Caenorhabditis elegans: one gene and its partners. The protein of the gene in region 2 interacts with the protein of the main gene of each other region in a pairwise test. Each region holds a gene or a part of one and is shown on either strand. Other genes may lie near its edges. The genes, in order: dmd-5, fkh-6, ztf-30 and tbx-38.

Evidence for each region.
Region 1: the proteins of fkh-6 (region 2) and dmd-5 interact in a two-hybrid assay, tested with the Caenorhabditis elegans proteins (one large-scale study listed by BioGRID).
Region 3: the proteins of fkh-6 (region 2) and ztf-30 interact in a two-hybrid assay, tested with the Caenorhabditis elegans proteins (one large-scale study listed by BioGRID).
Region 4: the proteins of fkh-6 (region 2) and tbx-38 interact in a two-hybrid assay, tested with the Caenorhabditis elegans proteins (one large-scale study listed by BioGRID).

The regions. Positions count from the first base shown.
Region 1 is NC_003280.10:5,770,146-5,776,965, forward strand, and holds dmd-5 (Doublesex- and mab-3-related transcription factor dmd-5), read right to left. Parts: upstream 4,076-6,820; 5' UTR 4,024-4,075; coding exon 3,885-4,023; intron 3,523-3,884; coding exon 3,358-3,522; intron 3,202-3,357; exon of another isoform or gene 3,087-3,201; intron 3,047-3,086; coding exon 2,954-3,046; intron 2,937-2,953; exon of another isoform or gene 2,742-2,936; intron 2,540-2,741; coding exon 2,318-2,539; intron 2,270-2,317; coding exon 2,046-2,269; 3' UTR 1,909-2,045; downstream 1-1,908. Other genes in the region: Intermediate filament protein ifb-1, read left to right, coding at 1-457, 568-769, 817-924, 1,382-1,546; F10C1.1 (uncharacterized protein), read left to right, coding at 4,084-4,275. UniProt on the Caenorhabditis elegans protein: Transcription factor. Required for sex-specific synaptic pruning, probably acting downstream of sex-determining transformer protein tra-1.
Region 2 is NC_003280.10:4,378,117-4,386,555, forward strand, and holds fkh-6 (Forkhead transcription factor fkh-6), read right to left. Parts: upstream 5,291-8,439; 5' UTR 5,173-5,290; coding exon 5,135-5,172; intron 4,975-5,134; coding exon 4,866-4,974; intron 3,511-4,865; coding exon 3,299-3,510; intron 3,226-3,298; coding exon 3,072-3,225; intron 2,415-3,071; coding exon 2,109-2,414; intron 1,920-2,108; coding exon 1,767-1,919; 3' UTR 1,762-1,766; coding exon of another isoform or gene 1,717-1,761; 3' UTR 1,671-1,716; coding exon of another isoform or gene 1,500-1,670; 3' UTR 1,469-1,499; downstream 1-1,468. Other genes in the region: B0286.1 (uncharacterized protein), read left to right, coding at 720-762, 1,301-1,455, 1,500-1,670, 1,717-1,761, 5,507-5,566, 6,703-6,865, 8,035-8,090. UniProt on the Caenorhabditis elegans protein: Probable transcription factor. Binds to the DNA sequence motif 5'-[TA]TGTT[TG]T[TG][ATG]TT-3'.
Region 3 is NC_003281.10:8,594,026-8,601,402, forward strand, and holds ztf-30 (Zinc finger transcription factor family protein 30), read right to left. Parts: upstream 3,846-7,377; 5' UTR 3,819-3,845; coding exon 3,674-3,818; intron 3,596-3,673; coding exon 3,476-3,595; intron 2,680-3,475; coding exon 2,464-2,679; intron 2,416-2,463; coding exon 2,254-2,415; intron 2,208-2,253; coding exon 1,765-2,207; intron 1,719-1,764; coding exon 1,611-1,718; 3' UTR 1,285-1,610; downstream 1-1,284.
Region 4 is NC_003281.10:11,782,204-11,788,899, forward strand, and holds tbx-38 (T-box protein 38), read right to left. Parts: upstream 3,859-6,696; 5' UTR 3,850-3,858; coding exon 3,644-3,849; intron 3,622-3,643; exon of another isoform or gene 3,542-3,621; intron 3,483-3,541; coding exon 3,164-3,482; intron 2,398-3,163; coding exon 2,011-2,397; 3' UTR 1,879-2,010; downstream 1-1,878. Other genes in the region: srd-74 (Serpentine Receptor, class D (delta)), read left to right, coding at 1-36, 81-149, 614-848, 1,211-1,489, 1,561-1,632, 1,683-1,871; C24H11.1 (Serine/threonine-protein phosphatase), read left to right, coding at 5,545-5,598, 5,646-5,777, 6,035-6,244, 6,316-6,479, 6,529-6,696. UniProt on the Caenorhabditis elegans protein: Transcription factor. Required for mesodermal induction, acting redundantly with transcription factor tbx-37. Together with tbx-37, acts by inducing cell fates in the AB lineage, thereby playing a role in development of the anterior pharynx.

The DNA of each region.
Region 1 (6,820 bases), 1.4 Mb from region 2:
GAGAGTTCTTCAAAAACGAATTGGCTCTTGCCATCCGTGATATCAAAGATGAGTATGATATCATTGCCAAGCAAGGAAAGCAAGACATGGAGTCCTGGTACAAGCTCAAGGTTTCCGAGGTTCAAGGATCTGCCAACCGTGCCAATATGGAGTCCACCTACCAGAGGGATGAGGTCAAGAGAATGAGAGACAACATTGGAGATCTCCGCGGAAAATTGGGAGATTTGGAGAACAAGAACTCACTTTTGGAGAAGGAAGTTCAGAACTTGAACTACCAATTGACCGACGATCAAAGACAATACGAAGCTGCCCTCAACGACAGAGATGCTACATTGAGAAGAATGCGTGAGGAATGCCAAACATTGGTTGCTGAGCTTCAAGCTCTTTTGGATACCAAGCAAATGCTTGACGCCGAAATTGCCATCTACAGAAAAATGCTCGAGGGAGAAGAGACCAGGTAATTATTATCGTTATTTAATCAATATTCCCAGCAAGCCAAATTTTGGGCAGTTTTGTTATCATTTTGTTCTAAAACCTTTCTCAAAAGTTTCAAAAATATATTTGCAGAGTCGGACTCACCCAAATGGTTGAGCAAGCCGTCAAGACGCATTCTCTCCAACAACAAGAAAACACTGATTCGACAAGATCAGTTCGCGGTGAGGTATCCACCAAGACCACCTTCCAAAGATCCGCCAAGGGAAATGTGACAATTTCCGAGTGTGATCCAAATGGAAAGTTCATCAAGCTTGAGAACTCGCACAGAAACAAGGTATGTTGAAGCTTTTTGGTTTTGAAATGTTGAAAATTTTATTTCAGGATGAGAATGTTGGTGAGCACAAAATCAGAAGAAAGTTGGATGGAAGACGCGAAATTGTCTATTCCATTCCAGCCAATGTTGTTATCAAGCCAGGAAAGAACTTGACCGTAAGTTATTTTTATCATTGTTTTAGAAAAAAGTGTGTAGCTATGTAAATATTCTTAGTATTTTTTTAGTCTGCCACTATATTTTTGAGAAACCCAGCCAACATAGTCTGAAGCCCGTTAAAAACGTACTTTCACCTGAAAATTTCCAAAAAAAAAATTTTGAAAGGGAATGGCCAAATTTTGCTAAAATCTGAAATTTTGTGAGATTGTCCATGTAGCAATATCGGAAAATCAGTTGTTATTTCTCTAATGCTCTTTATCAGAGTTACAGGTTTTAGAAATTTGAAAATGTTTTCCCCAAGTTTTGAGCCACCATAAGAAATTTGGAAACATTTTCTGAGAGGTCTCATTATGAAATTTAATCGTTTCGGGTTAGTCTAAGGGTTTCTCGCATTTGCTGAGAAACTAATCTACATAATTTCGAAAAGAGAATATTCCAATTCCAATAAATTTCCAGATCTACGCCCGTGACCAAGGAGGCATCAACAACCCACCAGAGTCTCTTGTCTTCGATGGAGAGAACACCTGGGGAATCGGAGCCAATGTTGTGACGTCATTGGTGAACAAGGATGGAGAGGAGCGTGCAACACACACCCAGAAGACCATCCAATCCGGACAATAAGCTCTCATTATTTTTAAACAACTTTTTCTCTTTTAAACAACTCCCCAAAATCACTCAAGTTCTCTAGTTTCTGTCCATAATTTTCTTATTATTCTTGATGATAGACCTTCTCGACATTTTTTCTTTAAATTGATTCATTGAAACTGCCTAAAACTGACCAAAATATTGAATTGATTTGCTTAAGACTCTTCACTTAAAATCGCTAATCTGAAATTCATTTTAAAAAACATCAAAAAAAGAACAAAAACGTTTGCAATTCTTTTCATAATACACTGCTTTTCCCGTTCAAACTTCAAGTGTTTCCCCCCGCTCATTTTCCACCGAAAAATCTTTCTATTCAATGTTTTCTACTTCTTTTTCAATTTTAATAAGATTTTTTATTCAGTTTAGTTTTTTTTAATTGAAGACAAATCATAAATACAATTTTAAATGTGACCATATAAAAATATACAAAGTATTGGAACTCTGATTCTGACGATAAGAAAAAATATTCAATTTCTCAAAATGTTTTATCATTTTCTCGGTATTCTTCTTCGGCTTCCTCATTTTTCATTAAACGATGACTGTAATCCAATGGAGCAGTTTGTGGGAAAATTGTGCTCGGTGATGACGTGGCAATTGTTGGCTGGGCTGAGAAGAACGCTGGTGGAGCTGCGAGGCTCGCAGCAGATGCGAAATCTGACATTGATGGAGTTCCGAAGAAATGCGGCATCACTGAAAACACTGAAAATAAGTTTAATTTACGAAATAATATTGAATAAGCTCTCTTACTCGGAAATCTCATGAATGGTCTTCCATACACAGGATTGAACATTGGCATTGAAGAGTATCCATTTGGTTTGAAAACTGGACTTGTTGGAATCACTGAGCCACTGGTATTTGGTGTTGATTCAGATGAGAGCTCAGGTGGGGAAGAAGTGCTTACAACAGTTTCAGAACCTGTTGGAGAGCTTGGTGAACTCCGTTGTCCCTGTGAGTCTTCGTATTTTTCTTCTGAAAGGTAGTGCAAGGTTAGTTAAGGTTAATCTTTTAAATGAGAGCAATTGACTTGTAAAGTGCTAATCTAGATTAATCCCATCAATATTGTGAATAGCTTATCCCTCTCAAATGCATCTGCTTCTCGTAAAGCTTACAGTGCTCTCTAGCTAATTGACTTACGCAACCAGGTACGGGGATTATGGAGATGGGGTAAAAGTGCACCTGTTTCCGAATACGCAAAAAGTTTAGCACGAGTGGGGTTCGAACCCACGAGGTGTTATCCACCATTGGAACTTAAGTCCAACGCCTTAACCACTCGGCCATCGTGCTGGCCATTCGACGCGGCGCTCCGTAGCCTTCACATTACTGCGGGAAGAAGAGAGCGCACTCTCATTTCTCTGTCTCGAACAGGCTGTCATGTCGACTCACCAGTATTATTATTGTTGTTGGTCGTCGGAGAAGCGTGGTTTTTCCCGTGATGTTCACCGGCATCGAGACGAAGAATATCGAGGAGATCATTCGCTAAAAAATAGAAATTAAATAAAAAGTTAGCGTGTTATTCTATAAAAAAAGAGAACAATGTGTCATTGTAGAAGGTGTGTGAGCATACAAAGATGACCCTAATGAACTATTAGTATTGTAACAAGTATAGGTCATATTAGTGTCAGGTTACCCAATAGTTAGTCTAGCACCTCGAGCACAGCGGGAAGCTTGTTCAAGACACAACTTGAATGAAAAATGACCGGAAATACTTGATCGGGAAAAACACATGCACTGATTCAGCACCAGCATTCCACAGCTTAATCCCCGAATATTTAAATAAGCTGACTTACCATTTCCAGCAGAACCCAGAAGTACTTCCAAATCTCTTGCGTCTCTTTCTTCCTGAGATTGCTGACGACGAAGAGCAACCTGAGCAGCCATAACTCGTTGTCTTTCGGCAATTAATGTGCACTTTGCACACATACAATCCTTCCATTGACAGTAACGTTTGTGACCTGGAAAGTTTATGGAATATTACATTTAAATTCTAGATTTTCCACGAGAGCACAAATCACGCAAAGATGGCAAGATCGGTGATGTGTTTCCAAAAATTGAAAGTTCTTATAGAGCAACTTATTTTATGGTTTTAACAGAAGCCGGAGCATCGAGTGTTATTGTCCCCTTATATTTTGAAGTAAGCTTTACTGGAACTATTACATGCACTTGAAAAAAATTTTGTACTTCGATTAAGGATTAAACAAAATGATTTTTCTGGTAGTCTTGCTTAATTTGACAGCTTGAATCTCGGTTTTTATTTTTTATTCTATGAGACTGATGAATATGGTTAATTGTTTTGATGGAATATTAAAATACGAACCTTTCAATGCAGAAGTAGTTCCGTGATTCCGACATCTCGCGCATTTCGGAGTCCTTTGATTCCTCTCTGCACGAATTCGAAGAATCTGTTCGAGGCTAGTTGGCGGTAGCACAGATACTGACGACGGAGAAACAGGCATTCTGTTTAAAATATTTTGTTGTGAATAAGGTGAAATGTTATAATATCAGAATGAGAGGTAATGGTTCCCAAAAGGAATGCTCAAGTCCCACCCCTTTTGCTCTTCGATCAGTGCTCGCGCGGACCACCAACCGGAAGAAGCTCCACCCTTTGTGAAGAGGGTGTCGGGGAAAGAGGGGTTACTGTAGGATCAAATGAAACAGATATATCCAGAGATAGTAGTAGAAGGAAAAGAAAAAATAAGAGACTGTGAGAAAACATTGAGTAATTTGGTAATAATCAAGTGGGTGTATAACAAGGCACTATATTTAGGAATGTTGAAAATATACGGTAATCAAATAGTTTTAAATCGAAAAAAACTGGATAAACTGCTCTTTGCTTAATCGCCTATAACTCGACAGTATGTCGCAACGTTTCAACCAACTTTAGCAAGTTATCGCAAAAGTTGCAAAAGTTAGGTAAAGCTGGTTAAATTTTGGATGATCCCAAAAATGAGCACTGAAAAACTACCGAAAGTTGGCTAAACTTGGTTAAAAGCTTCTAGCCTTTCTTGAGAAGGTGTGGCGAGTTTCTGATAGTGAGTAGGGACTATCAAATCAAATAAGCCACTTGACCTGCATTTTGTTTTAGGCCATGGTTGCCATATTTCAAAATTCCGGAGTTGAAAAATGGTGACGCTTGGAGATATGCATTTTCAAAAACTGTACCCACAAAACATTGAAACTTTAATTTTGTTCAAAAAATGTGAACACATTCCTATCCTGCTGCAAGTAGCGCAACTTCTCTCAAGATTTGAATGGAAGTTATGGAATCAATATCATCACCATATGCCAAATCACGAGCCATCAATCACCTGCCAACCACCACAACAAGAAATTCTTAGAATAAAATTGAAAGTGTTTTCAATAAAGTTTACATCTTACTAGATTCGCGTACACACCAATTTTAGAGGCTGCAATTTGAAATCGTGTGCTCTCTAAACATCAGAATAATTACAAGTTTGCCACAAAAGCATCGGGCCTAACCGCGTAATAATCACAAGGTATCATGACAAATAACTAGTAGAGATTGAGATGCTAATTTAAATTACCGCAAAACGTATTAAAGAGGCTAAGGAAGGGTATGCTAACAACAATAATCATAACATATGGAGAAGAGTGTTGGTTGTGGACACCCCCTTGTAATTAGAATTTGCGAATGCAAAAGCTCATGCTTGTGTTTTGATTGGATTTCGGCATGGCCTTTTACACATTAAATATGAAAATAGGTAATCTGTGATAGAGAAGAGAACGGGTGTACTTCTGAACAAGTGTATTACAAGAGAGCTCAAGTAAAATTTGTAAGCATGGGGTTGAGCGTACATTTTCGAAGTAGTGATCGCGAATTTAACGTCCAAGAACAGATACATAAGAACCACAAATTTCCTGGTTTGGTGCAAAATTTAACTTAATTACCAATGAATTCTGGAGATAACAGATACACTCTGGCACACTCCAAAACGTTATAATAACCTATGCAGATCTATCAGAAAACGTAGACACCTCGTGTAAAAATGAACCTGTTTCCTGTCTGAATTCTACTGAACAGCTGAAATTGTCTGGAACATTAACTGTAAAAACATTGAATAAGATTAATTGTTCATTGGTGAGCTCGCCAGGGAAAGTCGTCGTTGAGACTTTGAATAACGAAAATTTTGAAAACATTGCTCTGAATGAGCACCCGACATCGATTAATTTGAGAAATTCACATCCCGAATATCATTTGAACTCTGACTTTGAATATCTTGAAGAGTAACTTTTCTAACCTTTTTCCTATAATATACGCAAAATGGTTCAAATAACCTAAATTGTCAACGACTTCTTTCAAAATTATATCGGCATACAAAATTTTTGAGAAAGTCCTATGAAACTAGGCTTTTTGTGAACATTTTTGAATCCACTTGATCGTGTACCATTTTTATTAGAAGCCGTCAATAATCAGTTTTACAACTCACTATTACAACTCACTAACTCAGTATTTTGTTTCAGTGTTTTCATGCACATCTTCATTTTCTGGTGAACTCCATGAGAAAGTTGGAAAACCGTGAAGGTCGAAAAAATTGTGAAAATGCGCAAGGAATTTAAGAAAAAGTTAGATAAACTTGCGAGAAAATTTACTCTACTAACAATATCACAGCGTTTTCATCTGTTTCAACTTCAATTGTTTTTCAGTCATGTGATAAAATTTCGAAAAAACATGCAACATTTAATAAACTGATTTCATTTATTCATCATCTAAAAACATTTTGCCACCCAGTGCACTCAACGCAGATGTTTTCTTTGCTTCCTGGTATTAAGAAACACTTTATATCCTAATTCTACAGTAAGATTGTTTTGCAGGTGTGACATATTAGTCTCTACTAATGTGTACTAGCTCTTCCCTTAGTTTCATCTATCCTCTTCACGCGATTACTGTAAACAAGAAGCATTGTGATGCTTTTGTGCTCAATATGCTCAATGGAGAAAATGATGGGATGAATATAAATACATATTTATGTAAACGATGATGATGATTTGTTGAAAAGAAATTGAAGAAGCCACTGAAGGTGTTGAGAGCATCTGTGTGCATTTTCGGCTCTTCACAATAATTGTTTTCGATTTCAACTCAAGAGGCAAAGGTTGTGAATGTAATATGTCTCTGTCAAATATGATTTACAAAATATGTTCAGGGAAAAAAGAAGTTAAGGACCTGGGGGTCTTGAATATTCCGGTTCAAATCGTGGATTCTAGGAAAATAAATGAAAAAAAAAAGTAATTTAT
Region 2 (8,439 bases):
CCCACTTCCTTAAAAAAACCAAAAGTTCACAATGGAAATTTATGCAAAAATTGTGGCATTTACTTTGGTCTCCATAGTTTTTTAGATTTCATTTTTCATTCTGGAATAGTTTTGTGAATTTTTCCTGAATTTAAGAATTTTTCGGATTTTTAGGACGTTTTTAAGTACGAAAAATAGAAAAACAAAAAAAAAATTAATCTCCAATTTGAAAGTTATTTTTTCGCAATTTTTCAGCTCTTATGGTGAAAATTTGAAAAATCCTCCCGTCAAAATTTTAAAAAATAAATTAAAAAAAACCTCCGAATTTTCCCTCTCCGCACCTGTAAACGTACTAATCCTTCAGTTTTACAATCCCTCTTCTCGATCCAATTCCTCTTTGACAAACTTTTTTGTGGTGTATTCCAATTTTCCCTTCAACTCTAATAACTCGTGAAATGATCCGTCGTGTTCGTGTGGCTCTGAAGTATGTCTTCTCGCGTCAATTTCATCTTTATTTCCGATATTTCTTATTGAAAAAAAAAGATCATAATAATTCGTTCAGACACTCACACCCAATACATGCCGACGAGAAGAGCAATTTGATGCCGTCGCTGCTCGGCGCACCTAATAATCGTTTAAGAGTTGTCCTACTCTTTCTGTTCATTTTCTTTTTGTACGTCTGGAATCGTAGAGAAGCATCGTATTCTGATGAGATTCGGAGGAAGGATGAGCAAGTGGAAATGTTGCAGAAAGAGCACGCAAGTGCTCTCGAAAAGTTGAGGGGTAGGTCTTCTGAGTTTTTAAAAAATTATATATGTAGCTTAGAAAAAGTTCTAGTTAACATTGTTTACGTGGCCTAGAAAAATCTGAAGTTAGGCCATCAATCGATTTTCAGAAAATTCTGAATTTCCGTCAATTTATTTCTAAGAACATTCGAATTTCCCGCTAAAACTATTTCAATCAGATTTTTTAAATTTCTCGCAGAAAAATTTTCTCGAAAAAAATTAATTATTGGTCACAGTTTGATCTCAAAAAATTTGAACTTACTACAAATTTAGACTACAAATTTTTTGGACAAAATTTTACCAAAATTTTGTTCTCAGAGACTTAGATTTTCTTGCCAACTTTTATTTGGTAAATTTTAAATTCCGATTAATATTAGTTTTTGAAATAATAAGTACTATAAACTTAAGTTTATAAATAAAATTGATATCGGTGATTTTTTTTCTTCGAAAAACCCTCCAAATTGAGTAGATCTGCCATTAAAAAAAAACTGAAAAAAAAACACTTTAAAAGTCAAATCACTGTTTTTTTCTTTCAGTAATCTGGCTGCACAAAAAGAAGATCGAGGCTGAATTACAATCCCGCCACGCCGAATCAACCAAATTTTTAAGCAAAATTAAATTAAAAGAGTCAGAAATTTACGGGTTGAAGACAAAACAAGAAACGTGCCAGAAGGAGTTGACGGATTGTCAGGTAAGATTTGAAATTTTTTTAAAACCATAATTCATGTTTTATAGACTTTAAAAGAAGAGCCAAAAGAGCAAAAAAAAGAAAACAATAAAAACGATGAAAATTCGAAGAAAACAATCGAAAAATATGAACAAGAAATTGCGGGTCTCAAAGAGAAAATTGAAGGTTTGGAGGAGAAGGTGAAGAATAATTATTCGGATGAAAATTCTAGCTTGAAGGTAATCTGAAATTAATTACCAAAATATTTCAAAAAATTTATTCCAGGAGGAACTGAAACAGTGCGAAACGAGGATCAGGCAGTTGACAGGGGTAAGTTAAGATGAAGCTGGGAATTGTTGTCCATAACCATAGAGAGATGGGTCATCAAATGATAATCCCGTGAAAGTGGTTGTTGGTTGACAGGACCAATTGGTATAAGGGGGCATGAAGGCGTTTGGGTACATGTTGCTTGCAGTGGAGAGCAGTTGCTGGAATAAGTTTTAGGAGGGTTTTTGATTAGTTATGAAAATTCTAAAATTTAGAAAAAGTGGAGATAGGAGAAAAAGTGGAGATAGCATAATTTTTACCGACTTCAAAATTTCTCCATTAAGCTGCAAGAGTTAAAAAAAAAGTAGCATAAACTTTATTTAAAACATTTTTTGAAAATTTCAACTAACCTGTTGCTCGATACTCCTCGGATCAGTCATCTGAAGACTTGTCAAGAATGTTGTACTTGAAATCCCAGGGATCAATGGCTTCATATCAACTAGAACCTCCTCTTTGACAGTATCCGATGGTACAACTTCTACATCAGACACAACTGGTGGTGGTTGAGATGGAGCCACTAGATTTGTGTCGAAATGAGAAGTTGGAATTGGGAAGGCGCTTGTGTAAATTGAGGTATCAAATGATGACGATGAGGAAGAGGAGTTGTTGATTTGGGAGGTGTTGGCACTATCAGTGATGGAGTTGGGGTATTGGAACTGAAAAATTGAAAGTGTTAGATCTGCACCCCGATTGTGCTCTATTTTGACCGCTTATATCATGGTTGCCTGAAATTTTATCAAATAATTGTCATTATTTAAATGTAGAGAAATATTTTGCCCATATTTTGTCAACTGACAATTTTTGATAACAACAAAGGGAGTCAAGATATAAGCTGTCAAAGTAGACCAAGGCATGGAGTCCACTTTTTGGGCTTTTTTGGTAGGCAGGCACGCCTTCAGGCGTACTTACCTACTTTATATTTTTCTGCCTATGCCTGCCTATGATCTAAAATTTACAAGCAGGCATAGTTGTCTTTGTGAAATATTTGCACAGTTCGCTAATTTCTTTAAGATCTTTTTGAGATTGGCACAGTTTCCTCGGAGTTTTGAGTATTTTCATGAAAGTTTTTTTTGGAAAAACAATTATTAATAAAATTATTTTTAATTGGGAATATAAAGCAACTTTGCTTCATTTTATAAGAGTTGTAACGAAAATTTCACAACTAACTAGTAAGGACTCTGGGGCTAAACGATAAGCTTACTACAGATTCACCAATATTTTTAGTACAATTTCGTAAATTTGTTGCCTGTTCGAATTTTTCATGGGGCGTTAGCGTTCAGATTCCCGAAAATCTTCACTGGGCAATTATTTACCTTAAAAAACTGGAAAGGATCCATAGTTTGAATATTCTGTGGCCACTTCAACCCGTTGAAAAACGGAAGCTGTTGCTGTAGAATGGTCCCTGTTTCAGTAGTTTCCGTCGTATTCGCATAACCCATTTTTCCGATTCCAAGTCTTTTGACACGTCTGTAAATACATGAACAAATAGTCATTTTTCACGAGTGTATAATAATAATAATCCTCTTGTCACTATCCATACCTTCTCTTAAAGTTGCCGTTGTCAAACTGAGGCGCATTGTCCGCCACCATTTGCCAATAGTTGCCCTTTCTGTCGTTCGCGCAGCTTTGTCCGTCTCGTGCTTTTTTGACAAAGCAGTCGTTGAGTGACAGATTGTGTCGAATACTGTTCTGCCATCCCTGTTTTCGTTTCGCGTCCGCGTCACGGTAATATGGGAATTTGGCCTCGATGAACTGAAACACACATCATCGGTTTTGTTTGCGCCTGATAGGAAACTAACATACTTTGAAAGGTTATATCTCGGTTCATAATAAAGATATCAATGAATGATCAACTACAAACCTATAGAAAAATAACCAAAAAATATTTGGCTGGTAGACAATTTTTGTTTAGGACAAACGAGAGCTGAGATATTAACTGTCAAAGTTGAATACTAAGGTTTTTGGGTCTTGACACGAAGAAGGTCTATATATATATATATTGACATTGTTATTGACTTGTAGGAGAGAGGAAAAGTTGTTCACTGTGTAAATGTTATGGGAGAGGCACAGGGTGCCCCCCACACCAAATTAGTCAGATCTATTAAGGTTGATGAGTCAAAACGGAAGAGTGGAAGTGGTGGGTTACGGTAGATGTGCTGGCTAGTGAGTTGGGTTTTCCAGAGTTAGATTGAACTGAACATTACTAGATCACTTGTGACAGGGTTACGGTAGGGCAGGGCTAGGTGGAAAAAAAAAGCAACCAACTGAATATCACAACAAAAATATCAATGTATGAAACTTACTGTACGAAAATGTGATATGGGAAAGATGATGTAGAACCTTAAGAACTTTTTTTCGAATTTCGTTTTTTTTGTAGCAATAAGGAGCAGATTAATTTTACTGCTATATAATCGTGTTAGAAAATCTCCAAAATAACAGATATTTTGAGGCTTTTCTAGTAATTTCAAAACAATTTAAAGTACAAAAAATATAGGGAGAATCTCCGGAGAAGTGACGAATATTTTTCTGGATTTTTAAATGAAGTATATGTCATTACAAGATGATCGCCAAATTTTTCGCTTCAAAGGAGCATTTTGAACTAGAAAATGTTTCATTAAATGGCTCGGCTTGATCAGTTTTATATGACTAAATAGACTCCGATGATTCAAGTTTTCAAATAATTGAAATTTACAAAAAAATCTTTCAAACGTTTGCCTATACCTGAAAAACTTAAAAGAAGATAAAAATCGGATTTGGAACAATTTCAGCAGCCTCGAAGTTAGTGTAAAGTGAGATAAAAATTCTCAGAAAAAAAGTAATTTTTAAAGTTTTGGAATTGAATTTCGTAGATCTATTTTTGCAGGAATAACTGAAAGTTCTAGCACATATTTTAATACTCAATATGACGTCCAAAAAAAACTGGAATATTCCGCTAACATTGTGAAAAATTTGCTCAAAAATTCTTCAAAATTTGAATTGCCGCACCAGTTTTGGGTTTTTAAAATGGTATTTTTCCGCAAAAAAGTATTTAGTTTTAGCAAAATTTTCATGATAATTCCTCCAAAACCGCTATACCAAAAAAACGTTATCGAAAAGCTTCCCGTTACCTTGTAAATCTGATTCAACGTCATTCTCTTATCCGGCGAAGCATCGATTGCCATTGCAATAAGTGCAACGTAACTGTATGGCGGCTTGTCAATCGAATTTCCCTCTTGACTGGAAAGAGCTCTTTTATTTTCAAAACTTTGCCTCTAACAGAATTTTGCAACGGGGATTTTGTATTTAGAGAAGAAGAAAAAGAAAATATGTTTCCCCTCTCTCTCTCCCTCTCTAAAAACAATAATAAATAAATAAAATAAATAAATACATAACTTACACAATATGAAATGGAAGATGTGTTTGATGGCGAGTCATGATTATTGTATTTTTTTATGGTAGGGGGTGTCAAATGAGACAACGGATTATGCAGAAGCTAAGAGTGAGGGCGGGGTCTCGGAACTGTGAAGACGGAGGTGTGGGTGGAGGGAAAGAAATGGAAGAAGATTGTGCACACTGTCTCCTTCTCCCCCCTGTGTGCTCCTGACATTTTCTGGTGCTGATTCACTGGTAAAAGGGAAACAGAAACATCCAATCTGATCATCTCTTACTTTTTATATTTTGTAAATAAACGAAAAATCGAAAGGGAGAACACGACGACGATTGGAGAATATTTGTATTACAACACAAAATTACACACAACTTTTTACAGGGAGGAGCCATCGAGCATTACTCGCAAAATGAGACGGCACATTTCAGCAGGAATCAGAAGGTTTGTGCTTCTTTTTGTTGTACACAGTACTCCCGTTACAGTAATCTGGAATTATTCTGAAAATTTTGCGATTTTTTAATCCTTAACTTGACCATATTTTTTGACTTTCCAGCGACTTTTAGTCACCTTTCATTCATTGTATTTTTTCTACTAGACTTCCAGGCACTTTCCTTTACTTTGACAGCGTATATCTCAGCTCTTTTTGATTTTATCAAAAATTATTAACTGGCAAAGTACTCCCAAAATAATTCTCTACATTTTATTAGTTTATCATTTTTTGTTAAAATCTAAGTGAACCAAGACATAAGTCGTCAAAGTGGAGCAATGTCGGCGCAAGGCTAATAGGGAAAATTGGCAAAATAGTAGATCAAAATGATTTCCAATTTTTTTTTTCAAACTTCTGAAAAACAAATTTGTTTTAAAATTAATGATTATAAACCACAAGTATCGTTTTTTTTTTAATTTAAATTTAATTTCATTAAAAACTGGATTTTTTTAACTTTTTAAATTTCCAGCCACATTTTTGGGCATTGTTTTCTGTAGCCTCGAAAAGTGAATAGAAGTGCCTGGATCGACCAAAATAATTTGAAATATTTGTTTTAATGCTAAAACGGTCAATTCAGACAAAACTAGCCATTTTCCAAAGCATCAGAAAAATTTAGAAACAAATTTAGAAAACTTGAAAATTTTTGATTGCAAAATTTTCGATTTTTTCGAAAAAAAAAAGATTTTTATCAATAATAATTTCCCTCAAGAAAGTGATTTTAAAAATGGTTGTTTAAAATAATTCACCACATAATCAGAATTTCAAATATTCAAACAATTTCCAAAATTGGATATTTTTCATAGATAGTTCTATTTTTTCACACTTTCAATTTTTCTCTGTGTAGTTTCAGAATCACAAGATATTTTCCCATTTGAAACGAAAACATATCACTTTAAATAAATCACCTGAATATTTGCCACTGTTTTGCTTATCTGTCTGACTTTCTCTTATCAACAAATTGTTTCAAACTTTTTGATCAAAGGTCTTGCTTGTTTCTATTTTTACTTACTCCCTGTATTTCTTTTCACATGAGTCTACAAGAGAGAAAAAAGTAGCCGTCATAAGGGTCAACTAACTACTCCATTTTCAGGCTGATGAACCATTGTTCTTCGATCGAGGTAACATTCAACATCACATCCCGCAAAAGTTGTTATTGGGACGAGAATTGGTGCAGACACTGGAAGAGGCAAAAGTGAAAAAGTTGGAGGAGAGAGAACAAATGGACAAGCATCCACAGGATCGCGATAATAAAGGTGACATTTTGACTGGAAATTTATTTTTTTCTTTGGGTTACTGTAGCTGAAAAAATCTGAAATTTGTCGTGGACGTGTTAAAAAAAAATCCCAAAAATAGAAGCTACCAAAAAATATTAAAATGAAAAAACTGAAATACGAAAACAGACAGTGTGCATGCTAAAAAAGTGTGGTAGGTAAATTGGTAGGCAGGCAGATGTATGACAGAACGGCACATTTGATTACGTACCTACCTGCCTAACTAGAAATATGCCTACCTACGTGAAAATGTGCCTACCATTCTGTTACCGCACCTCCCACTTAGTAACTTATCCACCTATTTCTACCTAGCCTATTATGTACCTACCTACTTACTATCATGACAATCTATACTTGAATACGGGAGTACCGACCTATTTGGTAACGCGCCTACCTAAACAACATGCCCACCTACTGATAACGTGCTAACCTACCTGGTGACGTACCTACCGACCTGAAGATTTGCCTACCTGTTTAGAAACGCGCCTACCCATTTGATAACGTTCCTACCTACCTCATATTGTATCTATCTACTTGATAGCGTGAGTACCTATCTGTGCCTAACGTGCCTATTTACCTGATAATATGCCTACCTGTTTCAACGTACCTATTCACCTACCTACCTCTCTAGGAACAGGTCTACCTGGTTAATAACGCGCCCCTATCTACCTGACAACTTGCCTACCTACTTGGGCCTACCTGCCTGGAACACTAGTGGCGTGCTTACTTGCCTTGAAATGTGCCTACCTACCTGGCAACAGGTTTAACTACCTAAGAATTTTTCAAACAACCATATTCAGCGTATTTCAAAATTCGAGTTATAATTTATTTTTGAATCAATTCTATTTGACCCTACCAAAAACATATGTCTGTCTAGAAAACTAGACAACCTTCAAGCTTTACCCCCATTCAACACAATCTAATTAGTTTGCTTTTATAACATTCCCCCTAAAATCTACGTCACCGTTCCGCCTTGCAAGAGTCCAATTGTAGTTAGAACGGGATGATTTAGTGCGGTGAACCGAACCGGACATAAATCTCTCCCCATCTTCGCAACAAAAAAAAACCATATCAAAAGTTTTGTTAGCAAAGATAAAAGAAAATTGGCAGATAAACTTGTGTTACTTTCCAATTAACCTGTGACGTTGCAGATAAAGAGGTCAACGAGCAGCCGGACAATGAGGAGCAGGATTATAAAGAGCACTAGGAGCATTCCAGTTGGAACTTTATTTTGAAATTCAGGGTTTTTTTCTCAAATTGCATTTTTCTGTATAAGCACACATCAAATGTATTATCATTACATATTTTAATTTATAAAATTCAAATTTCTATTGCAATAAATTGTATTTTTATTTGAACTTTTTGTTCTATTATAGATTGTTGTACTCTTCAGCGCTTCAAAAAACGTAGAGATAAGAGAGAGAAAGTGCCGGTACCATTCGGTGCCTGGCCTTCAAACGGCGCTTCCTTTGGACCCGAATCCGACTTTTTTGGCAACATATTCGGTGGAAAAGAGGGGGAAAGGAAACATTACGGTGGACATGTTTTGAATTTTC
Region 3 (7,377 bases), on a different chromosome or scaffold from region 2:
GAAGAAATCGAACAAGAATAAAAGAATACAATGGACAGTAATACTGTAGGGACATCAATTGTAAATAAAATAAAATAATGATTGTCTATGTTTGTTCATCTGTTCCATTGAGCAAATTTTCAATGAATCTAAATTTTACTCTGGTTTTAGAAATTGTATGGCTCAAAATATGTATTTTGTGTGTGTTCCGGAGTACAGCTTATCACTTTATCGAAAAACGTATGTTTTGATAAGGAAAGGGCGTTTCAATAAATTTGAAGAAAAAAGGGCGTTGCAACAAGTGACATGAATAAAACAAACATATTCGTAGAGTCGTATCAATAATCAGCATCATTTCGATCTTACGTACGTGGAGTAACAAGGAACTGGAATTTTTTGCATGCCGGAGGAATAGGAAGATAAAAATGAAAGACTAGAAACATAGTCTGCTTGTCTGGTATTCCAAAGATCCCCTACCGTACCTAACTGTACTAAACTTACAGCACGGTTACCAAATCCATACAGTCCCGTAATACCACAGTATCTCAAATTATTATGTTTTTTTTAACTTTTAAACAGAATATGTATTGTATTTTGTATGTATTTTGAAAACTTGTTCAGACAAGTTCATCAAACATGTTAATAGCAATTTGAATTGATTTCATAACTCTGACAGCGTCGTCTGAAAATGTTTCTCAATACTATTTAATTTTTCTACCCCCATACTCTATTGTTTTAATTTTCCTAGATAAATTAACAATGCTCCAAATTCGTCAAGTTTTTTTTTCCTGAAATGGTCAAATTTTGACAGCAATGACAATGTTCAATGTGAGCACCTATCAGCACATCAACGAAACAACCCACAAAATAATGACAAAATTGCTATGAAAAATAATAATTTGATGAAAACTGACTTTGCGAAATTTGAGAATTTAGCTGAAACAGAGTTTAACATTAAAAAAAACAGAGCTCAGGATATTGGTAGAGGCTCATGACTAAATTTGGTATTTTTGGGTCGCTTTAAGTGAAAATGGACATCGATTTTTTGTTGGAATTAAAGAGCTAAGAAATGAGCTTTCTCAGATTTCAGTTACCATGGATATTTGGCAGAGGATTTATTTAGTTATTTGTTTATTCTGGATAAGAAATCCGTTTACGTCTTTTGTAAATGTATTTTTCAAAAAAAATTTTTTTTGAAAGAGTACCAAAAATTCTGGAACACACATTATTCAACTTTCTATACTGTTTTTTTACTTTCTTGACTTTCTCTGATCAGTTTCAGTTATTTCCTGGAAGAAACGTAGAATACAGCATTTAAATTTATATCAAGTATGTATTATTATTATATTACAATTATGTATATTCAACGTAAGCACTGAGAATTATGGAGATGGAGACACAGAAGGAACACAACGGATCGGATGATTTTGATTTGTTTGTTTAATATTTGTTTTGGAAATAAAAAGCAAAAAATCCCGCAAACAGGAAGAAATAAGTTAAAAAATATAGTTCTGAGATTGGTAAAAAATATTGCGAAAATTATGAGAAATCTCCAAAAATGAAACAATATTAACATGATAGTAAAGCTTGCGAAGTTTGAGGTTTCAGAGAAATTTGGAAAAAAGATAATTCTAAAAAGGACGTGTCAAAATTGTGTTATTTATGAGAATTCGAAGAAATGAATTCATTTCCGAGGCGTCGTGAGCTTTGTCATTTTGAAGAAATTTCACGGCAAGATTCTGAAAAAATAATTTTGAAATACTTCTTTCTGATCTGAAATCTTACCTGACACTCTAACAATTTCCTTTGGAATAGCTCATTGTGCTCACGGAGCGCGTGTGCTTCCATTCTCAATCTGAGCACAGTTTGTTCCAATCCATTCATTTGGGCATTTGCTTCTAAACTTTCTTGTTGCATCGTACCAATTTTGTGTTCCAACAGTTTGCATTTATTTTCAGAAATCAATATCTTTGTCCTGCTGACGTGGCAGTCGAAGCATTCATGACGTGGACTGATCCTTGAAGAAGAAGATGATGAGGATGGTGAAGCTGTATCAATCAATGGAGATGATATAAGAGCACGATCAGAACACAACTGATGGAATGCACTAAGATCAGACTTGAAGCTGACTGATGAGCAAGTTGGTGACTGTGAAGTATACACATCGGGCTTCTCCACTTCATCTTTTATTTTTTCTTTTGAATCTGCTACAAATATTGGTGCCGTAGCTGAAATATTATCATAAGCATTACAAATATTTTGTATGTAACTTACTAGGTATGGGTTTTGGAAGATTTGCAAGCCATGAAGGTGTCTGAGGTTGAGATCGAATAGGCGATTGAAGAGCAGGGATTGGGATGCTTGCAATTGGAAGAGAAGGTACTGATGATTCAAGGGATTGTGGGGTTGGTAGATTTAGAAGTGGAGTACGGATTACTGAAATCAATAATCTTTTTATGTTCATCTCATATCTGATAGTCTTACACTGGAATGGATCTGTAATGAGGTGGCAGCTTCTGTTGATAACTCCATGAGGAATGACACTATTATTATTGTTGTTGCTGTCATTGTTGTTAGTGGCAGTTTGTAGATGAATATGAAGAAGTGATTTATCAGGAAAAGCCCAATTACAGCAACGGCACATGTACATTCGAGAGATATGATGTTGCTTGAACATATGAGTACGAAGAGATTCACTACCTGCAAATTACAATAGTTTTTTATTATTATTCAAAGTCCCCAATTCAAATACAGTACTCCTATAAAGTTTGTCTACTTATCCCAAAGCCATTATTTGACCCCTTACAATTTCGCTCCAATCCTCCACTTTTTTCCCTTCTGCCCCCACTCTCATCCATTGCGCAACCTCATTCAATTGTCCCCGTTCTCGAAAAGTGAGAACTGTGTTTGCGTCTGCGTCTCCACTATTTCGTATTTCTCCGGATGACCTCAATCGTCCGGAGAATGAAGAAACAGTGAAAATTGAATGAGATCAAGAGGAATCTTTCTCCGGAGAGTGGATGGATAGTAAACAATAATTGTTCATACAGATGCTTATACCCGAACAACAATAAAAACGAGTTTCTTGCGGTGTTTCATGTGATAAACAATTCAGGTGTAAACAATATGCTTGTTCAAATATTATAGGTGGATGCTTTAAAATATAGCAGTGGTTTTGCACTGCACAATTTTGCTCTGCAAAATGTTCTACAGTATCCCTGCTAAACCCGGGAAATGAGGAGATCAAATCAAAAGATGTACTGGAGCTTAATACATTTTTGTAGCAAAAGCTCTCTGAGTCCCTGATCGAACAAGTTTTCATTCTATTTCATATTTTTGTCTCCAGCAGCTTTTCAGCTCAAATGTGCAGCTCATTCTTGTATCAAATGTCATGATTATCTTTCTTTCAATTTCGAAAAATCTGTGATTGAGGATTTTTCTTAATGCTCGGAAGATCACCTCATTGTCAATAAAAAATAAATAACTTCCGACTTACTTGAGATATCTTTTCGGCATACTGTGCATTTGTAGCTTTTGAAGTGAGCCTGCATACGGTGGCGGGAGAGACTTGAAGAATGACAGAAAACTTTTGAACAGATTGAGCAACGGAACGAACCTGAAATTCAGAATCATTATAAAAGTAAGAACCTAATCAGATTTGGTGGACTAATAACAATTCCCAGAACTTACAAACCTTTTAAATCGGGTCGTTTTAACTCAACACCACTTCCACCTTTGGATCCACTGATATCAGTTCCATTCTCAACCTCCACGTCACTACCGTAACCTTCCTCCTCTGTATTTGTGGGTGAATGAATTTTATCGTCTTCCAGCTTCATATCCATTTCAAGATGCATGATTTTGAGCTGAATCATGAAACATGAAGACACATGAAACAATACAAAGGCAGATAAAATGAGGAAGTAAAAAATCTGAAAATCGAATGAAAGAAAAGATGTGTGAGCTCATAGCATTTTGAGCACATAGGCACTTTTCAATGTGTGCAGGCAAAAGGCCATTATGATGACGGAGGAGGAAGAAGAAAGATGCAAAAAGTAATAAAAAAAGCTTAACTACAGGCATCCAGATCAATGACGCTGACGGTAAGAATGATCCATTCTCTTTTTAGTGTATGTCATGTAATCCCAAATCCAGATCATTTTACAAGAATGACTTGAATTTCTAAAATAGAATGTGCTGCAAGGATACGGTAGATTAACTCAGATAACGAATGAATCATTGCATTCAATGTTTTGGAGCAGCAGGAGCACGGGAATTTTATGAGAACGTGTGTGTGAGAAGCTTCAAATTTTAAAAGTAAATCGGAGGAGCTTGAAATCAGCAATCGTAGTATTATCTTTCAACATTATTGCCTGGTTTCGCGTACCTAATATATTTACAGAATTTTTGGGGCAACAGTTTCCAAGAATAACTTGTTTGGAGGCTTTTCCAAACTGTGACTCTTTGCTCCATTATTTAGAAGACGTTTTTTAATTTTGAACTCTTTCGTAGAAAAAAGAAGAACTTAGTGTGAACGTTGAGTAGCCAATAAATGGCAATTTGTCAGTATTCACTTATTTTAGGAGACTCTAAAAAGACAATCTCTGGAGTTTTTAGAAAACTCTAAAAAATGCTGGTCATGTTGGACTATTATTAGTGTATTCAAGTTTTGACATAGTCTCTTGTTTTGAAATTTATGAAATGGTTAAAACAGCTAGATTTAAAAATTTCATCAGCCATTGTTTGATCATCTGGGCAAATCTTAAAGCATAATCTTCTAATCTTTTTTGAGAGACCTGTTTTTAAAATCCAAAGAAAATCCTTCGAAGAAAGTTTATGGTTTGTACTTCAAAATCGTCGGACAAGTTGTTTCTAAGAAAGTGAAGCAAAAAAGGTTTAATGATGGATTTTGCATAAGAAAACTAAGTAGGTTTAAAGTTTAATCGCGGGGGAGTGTTTGCAAAAAAGGCACATCTTTAGGGACTTTTTTCTAGATTTAACAAATGAAAAAGCCGTGCAAATTTCAGTTTACTTGGTTCCCATATCCCAAAAAGAGACCATAAACATTAGATTAAAACTAGGCACTTGTAATAAGCCTAATGACGTGGCACCGAAATGTTGCAACCCGTGACTATGAACTATACAAGGTCAAACTGTCAATACACCTATCCTTTCCGCTAATTATCCATCGTCACCAAGACGGCTAAGACGGAAAAAAGATGAAGACGGACGGCAATGGATTGAAGGGAATAAGACGAAAGTGTCAATACGCAAAGACTAGGTCAAACCGGAGAAGATGAGAAAGTATAGAAGAATAAGAGATACAGACTAGAGGAATGACGTAAGGTTTCCAGGAGAAGCTAGGTGAGATGAAGTGGAAGTAAAGAATTTGGAAAAAAAATGTGCTAGAATTGGGGAGAAAATCTCAATAAATTGTAAGCATGTGAAGGCAGTGGGGAATGGGTTCTGAATTATTTCGAACACATAAGCTCCGGCAGTTGGGTTGCTACTTGTTAAAATACATCCTTAAAATTAGCAGAAGGAAACATTTCCATTTCAGAGTGATAGAAGTTCACAAACTACTAATTTGGAACTTTCCTTTTTCTGGAAAAAAGTTGACACCTCTGAAATGACACCATATTCACTAGTGTTCCTGAAAAGTTTTCCGTATTAGTTTTCATTAACAGCAAAAAAAAGTTGGCCCGAATGAAAAAAAATAGGCGGATACTCGGATGGTATATCCTGCCCATCGACAAGATGATCCTTGCTTCAATTGGTTTTAAGCCGCTTCCCAGATTTGATGAGCGAATTTGGCGATGAGCCGTGACGACGCGTACAGCCTCATTTGTGCAGGATCGAAAAAGCATCAGTTTTCGAGATAAGGCAAGACATGTGGAAAAAATGTTTTCTGACGCAATTGAGTTAAAAAGGGCGGGGCTATGGCTATGTGTACCGAAGTGTTGAGTACGTCAAATTTTTTGAAGTAAGTTCCTTTAGAATTTTAGATAAAGTTGAAGTTTGGTGGGAAGATCTGATAATAGTTTCTTTTTATACCACAATGTAATCAATATAAAAACATACATCGTTTTCCTATTTTACCTGGTTCAGTAGTCTGGAAGTTCCATGCCGCCATATTAAAGCTTAATAATTATAACTACTAATTTCGATATTAACTAGCAATGCCACAAATGGTAGTTTCATTTGAAATAGGAAAAAATAGAAAATTTTCAACTGGGTCATCTTTTTCCCAATTTTTTTAAAAACCAAAAATTGTCTTTTTTAAATTAAAAACCAGTTAAAATGGTTCAGCTGAAAATTCGCTCGCAAATTTTCGGCTTCAATTAGTTTATTTTTTCTCATTTTGTAAGTATATTGCAAACTGGGGACACAAAGAAAAATTTGATGTAAACCCCTTGTGCCTGTCACACAAAAATAAGACTAAATGTCTAAATATAAATATTGGTACTTTCCTTGTATTTCCTGAGACTTAAGATCTTTGAGGAAGATCGCAAAATTTCGAAATTCACTCTGTAGGATTTTCTAGATTTAGCATCGAAATGCTCAATCAACAGATCATTCGGAATGACAATATGCAATCTTTGATGATGCTTACCATTTTTGAAATAAAAAACCCTGCCGTCTTCTGACCCATCAATTAGTCATTGACAAAAAATGAGAATGAAATTGGATTGACTCTTTAAAATCCGGTAAAATATATAATGCCGACGTCGCATCAAAAACTACAATCTGATAGTAATCCGCTTGTTTCTCTTTCGTAGTTTGACGTGTTTTTTCATCCCGGGCCCGTGTCTGACTTATTAGGGAAATATGTGTCTGAGGATGATATATTGACAAGAAACTATTTTTGATTTGAAATGTAGCTGGTAGGATTTTATTTATTTGAAATCTTGTATTTTTGGTAGGATTAAAAGACTATAATCTATTTTTAAAAATATCTAAGACTGTGGTTAAGATATTGAAATCGAGATGCAGGCAAATTGTGCAGGTAACTCAATTACTGGAAGGTAGAACCCTTAATCTTTTCGTCAAATTATTCCTATAGAGTCTTTAAGATATAATCTTTGTTCAGCTTGTCACCTAACATCAAGAATGCTTCTTAAACCCATGTGACACATTTCACAACTAAAAGATCTACTATTTTGAGCTTTCTAGAGACGCGTATGATACTTGGCAATGTGCCAATTAAATAGCTAACACAAATCATGTTAAGTTAATTGTAGGGTTCTTATTTCTACAAGTATTGCGCGTAATAAATTGATGAATGCATTTCAATTGAAAAGTAAGTGGGTCATCTCAGAAGTGAGCAGCTATATAGTGGTAAATTGAGATAGACAAGTGAAAATAGATTTCAAACCTGGGAAAAGATACTCAATAAGT
Region 4 (6,696 bases), on a different chromosome or scaffold from region 2:
TTGGTTCAAGTCGCCGGTGTCTTTCAGCGCGTATAGGTGAGTTTAGGTGCCGATGAACATTTTTTAAAGCCTATTTTCAGACTACTTCTGCTCTACACCAGTATCAGTGAGACTTTTCTCATCGTTTTCTCGTTTTTGTTACAAATGAGGTGGGTTTTATAGCAAACCGGCGGTTAAAATTTGAAATAAAAGGTGTTCTGGTTCTCCTCATATTTCGAAATGGAAGAGTTTGCCAAACTAGGCAATTTCGACTCAGCCACGGCCAGGGTAGATTTACGGCGCGTTGTGTGTCGCGTCGCGGCTCGGTTTTAGTTGTAAAACTAAATGTGTTTGTCCGTGTGGAGTACATATCGAAATTAGGCAAAACGGGAGGAAAAAAAGATTAATTTCAAAAAAAATCAGTACAAGCGATACAGTAGTAATTTAAAGAATTACTGTAGTTTTCGCTACAAGATATTTTGCGCGTAAAATATGTTGTGCAATACGCATTCTCAGAATTTTGTGTTCTCGTAATATAAATAGAAATATATAAATTTAACAAAAACTACTTGAAAAGTCGACGAAAATTTCGCATCAAAAAAATTTCATGTTATCAGAATTTCCCGATTTCCAGAATCATCAGCGCCGGCGAATCGGTCGCCTTGGTACCATATGGCCCTCTTCGGCATGCGTCTCCTGTGATTGCCTTCATAGGTTATAATTTTTATAATTTATTTCTTTGCACCACAAATCTCTCAATACTATTGTCCATGTACTATCGGTACTCGTTGATTTGTCACGGAAAGTGCGAGAATTTAGCGTTGAGTCGAAATTTCGGAGTAACGTTGGTGATTTCTGTTGGAATGCTGGTAAGTGAAGAGTGTTAGCCAAGATATGGGCGTGGCCTAAAATAATCTTGAATGTTTCTTTTGGTTCAAATTTTTGGGTTTTCTTGTCCTATTTCCTGAAACGCTTAGGAAGTAGGAAATTTCCATGATTTTCTTCTCAGGGTTTTCATCAAGACTAGGCCTAAGCCTACGCGTAAGCCAAAGCTTAAGCCCAAAAAACCTAACCCTAAGCCTGAGCCCGAGCCTAAGCCTGAGCCTAGGTCTAAGCCTAAACCTAAACCTAAGACTAACCCTAAGCCTGAGCCTCAGCCTGAGCCTGAGCCTGAGCCTAGGTCTAAGCCTAATACTAGGACCACTTTCTAAATAAATTCCAAAATTTTCAGGTAGCAATTTTAATTCCTCCATACGACTTCCCTACAGTAACCCTGAACACGGAAAGATCGTATCCCAACTATCACCTATTAGATACTTTCGGCGAATATGGAGGCTTCAAGTCGACAACTCGGCTGGTTTATCTTATCAATACCACAATTCTCATGGGAATTCCCTACATGATGCCCGTTTTCATTCTGTACTGGAGACATCAGATCTTCAATCAAATCAACGAAGTTCAGACACATTTGAGTGAACGAACCAAGAAATCGTCGTTGGATTTGGTGAGGGTGAGTGGTAGGAGTAGGCTTGCCTGCCTAGTAGGTAGGCAAACAAGCAGGCAACTTTCCAATTTTTCCAGGCACTCACAATGCAGGCAATGTTCCCGATGGTATGCCTTCTTCCCAATGTTGCATACTTCCTTGTGGCGCAGGTGAGATAGGCAGGCAGGCAGGCACGCCTAGCCCATTGAAAAATTTCCAGCGAATCCACATCGAGTTCGAGATTGCCGAGTTCGTGCCGTTTCCAACCTGCGTCATCCCGTGCCTCATCGATCCGATTCTAACGATCTACTACGTTGCACCATATAGGAGTTTTGTGACGCGGCGGCAGAGAAGTGTCTCGATTGGGGTGACGTTGTCCGTGGCGCAGTCTTCCGCGAGGACTATTTGATTTTTTTTAAATATTAATAAAGTTTATTTCAATTGTTATTTATGAGACACATAAATAGTAATCCAGGAGATCAGTGCAGTACAATATTCAAAGGGGGAGAAAGGCAATAGGTAGGGGGTATAAAAATATTACAAAAAATTCACAAACTTTGGAATTCATTTTTGAGCTCTTGTGGTTGTCCTGGCATCATCATTTGCTGCTGTTGCCACCAAAACTCGTATTGTTTTTGATAATACATATTCCAAGCTAATTGAGCATTATTTTGAACTTCGAAATTGTAATTCTGAGCACTTGCAAACTGTGGCTGGTAGTTCTGCGGAGCCACAAAATTCTGGTTGAAATAATACGGGGTTTGCTGTGGGAGATCTATTTGCGGTGAGATTGTCGGTGGGGTTACCAATTTGCTGCGTTTGGGCGGAGAGTTTTCAGAATTTTCAGAGTCTGAAGAAAGCCGTCTCTTGCCATTCGAACGAAATCCGGATGCAAATTTATTGTGATGAACCTTGAGGTTTTTGAGGATTTCGTTCTGGAAAAGGGTACAATTTTGTAGAGAATATATGTATGTAGTTGGTGAAAAATTTCTAGTTGTGGGTAATTGAATTTGCTACATTTTTTTATTTTTTAGTTGACAAAATTTTAATAGCGTAGTTTCAATCCGGCACTTAATGAAAACTTAATGCTTTTTCCGAAATTGCCATGCCGAATAAATTTACCGAATTTGACGTGCTCGACAAATATTTTGAAAAAGTCGATTTGCGGCCTAAGCTTAAGCCTAAGACTAAGCCTAAGCCTAAGCCTAAGCCTAAGCCTAAGCCTAAGCCTAAGCCTAAGCCCAAGCCCAAGCCCAAGCCTAGGGCTAATCAGTGATGGGCAGCGAACATGCTTTCTTGGCGAACGACGAATTCGGCAAATTTGTCTATGCAGTTTTTTAAGTTTTCCAGGTTTTTTCTGAAGGTTTTTTCCTGTATAATGGCGTAAGCCTAAGCCTAAGTCTAAGCCTAAGCCTGAGCCTAATCCTAAGCCTAAGCTTAAGCTTCAGCAAATGGCAACTTTCGGCAAGTTTTTCAGTATTTTTTTAATTTTGAATTAGATGCTTTCTATATGTCTACATTTATTTTTGATTTGAAAAGTTGGAATAGCGCTTCGAAATTTACAGTTTTGGAAACTTGAAAATATGCTCTCCAACTTTAAACTACTTCATCTCCGTTGATAGTGACGCGATTAAAATGTTTTCAACTTTTTTCAACAAATTGTTGCAAATTTAATTTCCCACACCCTTTCAAATAACTAACCTGATAAGCAGTGACCACCATAAATTCAGTAGCCTCCAACCGGAACTGCTCCCCACTAAAATCCTCTTGATACCCTGTCTTATAATGTCGGACCTGTTTAACAGTGACCACTGGAATGTGCTTATGCATACTCTGCACTAAAATGACCTTCTGATCCTTGATTTCCGGGTTATTCGTGATTTTGATGTGAGCAAACGAGACGGGCTCACTCATCCATTCTGCTCCAGTACGCTTGCCACGCGGATGCTCCTTGTATTGGATTGGAAGAATCGGATCTCCTTTGGCGAATTCTTTCCATTCTCCTGCGTCGAATTTGTATCTGGAAATGAGTTCAAGTTTTTGAAATTGGAATCGTCCTATAGGTTATAACTCTGAAAGTATACCAGCTATCAAAAAGTTGTCAATTTAGAAATTGTAGCAAATTTAATTTTCTACAATTTACCAGTTGAAAATTTTTTTCTATCTTTTAACCCAACTCACTTAATCCCGTCAACACGTTCCAAATGAATATAAATCGAGTAGAGACTGCCTGGATCCAATCCCTTGATGATATAGTCCAAATGCGGAAAAATCACCCTTCCACGGTTTCTCGTCACAATCATTTCGGTTTTCGGGTAGAACTCTTCCCAAATTTCTGGTGTGCTCAAGGAGACTTTAATTCCGGATGGGGAGGTGCACGAGTACATGGTAATGCTGTAACAGGGGGAGTTATAGGAGTAACAGAAGCACAAAAAAGTGAGACCGGAAGTAGAGCAACAAAAATCTAATTGTAATAAAAGTGCTAACCACTCTCACTAATTCTGTAAAACTGAGCCGGTAAGTGGGCGGAGCCGGAAGGGGCTGGGCCACACGTAGGGGTGGACACGTGGCAAGTGGAGCACAACTTGGCACATATGAGCGTGTGGCCATGGGAGATGTAGCGCACGGCGGCCTTGGGTGCAGGCTTAGGCTTAGTCTTTAGGTTTAGTCTTAGGCTTAGTCTTTAGGTTTAGGTTTAGGCTTAGACATAGACATAGGCTTATGCTCAGGCTTAGGCTTAGAGTTATGCCTAGGCTTAGGTTTAGGCTCAGTCAGGCTTCTGCTTGGGCTTAGGCTTACAATTAGGCTTAGGCTTACACCTTTGAACAAGAAAAAACCTTCAGAGAAAACCTGGAAAACTGGAAAAACTGCATAGGCAAAGTCGCCGAATTCGCCGTTCACCAAGAAAGCCTGTTCGCCGCCCATCCCTTATTAGGCTTAGGCTCAAGCTAAGGCTTAGGCTTAGGCTCAGGCTTAAGCTTAGACCTCAGCTCAGGCTCAGGTTTAGGCTAAAGCATAGGCTTAGGCTTTTTGAATTCACACCAATATAATAATGACCTAGAAGGATCACACGCGAAGTATATCCAAAATAACTGTAAAATCGGAACACTCATTAAACTGCGAGCCAATGTTGGTGTCTGATTCTTGAACACCTCTTCCTCCAACTGAGCATCTCTATGGTCTTCAGCAATCTAGAATGTGTAGTTCACACTTCAAAAGTATACCTCCACCCACACCTTGACACCTCACACTCTAGTGATAGCGGTGCGCAGTTTTGAATTGGCTCGGAAGGAGAAGATGTGTCGGGCTCAGCGGGAGGGCTGGTGCATTTTGAAATTGGTTAGAAACACAAGAAATTGATTATAAAAATAATTTTATATTTTGTTTTTCATACATTTTTCAATAGCTTCATACTTAAACGTTACTATTAAATGTACATTTCTTCCAGTAATTTTTACTGCAAATATGAGATTTTTCAAGTAATAATAACGGTTCAAAAACGGTTCGAAACACTTGGCAAAATACTTTATAGCAAAGTATAAGCGGCACATGTCTTTGAGCCGTAACACAACTCTCTGCCATGTATGGTACGCCACGTGGTTTGGAAAACGAAAGACACACGATATTGTGGGAAACTTGGAGGACATCTGGAAAATTAAAGAAAAAAACAATATCGATTAGGAATTTAGGAATAGTTGGAAAACGATTTACAAACTTTTTGATAGCTTTGATAACAATTTAATCACGAAAATTATAATAAAAAATTATTGAAAAAAATTTACAAAAAAAAAAAGAAATTTTTCGCGTCAAAAACAAAAAAAAAAAAAAAACGCTATAAAAAAGTTGTCAACTATCAAAATGTAGAACATAAAATTTACAATTTTTGGATAGTTTACAACTTTAATAACAATTTAGTTACGCAAGTTTAAAACAATTTAAAAATGTTCGCGTCAAAAATAAAAACAATTGTTATCGCAATGGTCAATCAATAAATCATCAAAATCAATAAATCAATAGAAAGAAAATAAATTCATTAATTGATAATTCACACTTCAAAGGGATCAATTTGAATTGAAAACGAAATGAGTTCAAATTCTTCGAATTCTTCAAATCCTGCTGCAACAGATGCTCCAAAGGTAAGTGGAAATTCAGATGATTCTTTAAAATGCCTCTACCTTTTCAGAAAACTTCCGTTGAACCGGGTTCGGAAGCCAACAATTGGCATATCACGGAGGCCGATGAGAAGGGATTCAAGTTGACCGATATGATCAAGAAACTTCTGAAGCCTGTATTCTCGAAAGCCATTATGTTTGATGTAAGTAAAGGAGACTCTATACCGGCCTGCCTGCTTCACCTGTGCCTGCCTACATGCCTTCCCATTGCCTATCTGAATCATCCCTGCATATTTACCTGCCTGCCTCATACCTGCCTAAATGTTTAACCACTGCATTCCTACCTATTCTCTACCTGCACCATCCCTGCGTTTCTAAGCGGTTGCCTGCCTACCTACCCACGCCCCTGCCTGTCTATTTGCCTCCATGCCTACCTACGTTCCTAATGTCTTTTTTTCAGGAAAAAGAGATCCATGTGCTGTTGACACGTGTCTTCAAGTACTACACATCTCCACCGAACAAGAAAACTGCACCATCTGCTTCAGCATCTGCAACCACATCTATGAGCCCTCCAAAACCGGCTGCAAATGCTCTTTTGGAACTTCAAGCTCCGATCAACATTTGTGGAGATACCCACGGGCAGTACAACGACTTGCTTCGTATTTTCAATGTAAGTCCTTACCTGCCTGCCTACCATACCAACTGCATGTGTGCTAAGCTGTTCTATATGTTCCCTTTCAGGCCTGCGGAGCAGCGACAAAAACTCAATACCTCTTCCTCGGGGACTACGTGGATCGTGGAGGTCACTCATTGGAAGTCATTATGCTTCTCTTCTCACTCAAATTGGCAATGCCCAGAAAGATGCATTTGTTGAGAGGAAATCATGAGTTGAAGGCCATCAACAAGTAAGCACATGTTAGTAGATCTGACACAAAATAATCTTATTGGTAACAGAAACTACGGCTTCCACGCGGAGCTCAAGAAGCGTTTCCAAAGGGAAGAAGTGTATGAATCGGTTTACAATCACTTCAATCAAGTCTTCTCGTATATGCCCCTGTGTGCAATCGTCTCGAAGCGTATTCTCTGCATGCACGGAGGGATTTCTCCACATTTGAAGTCTCT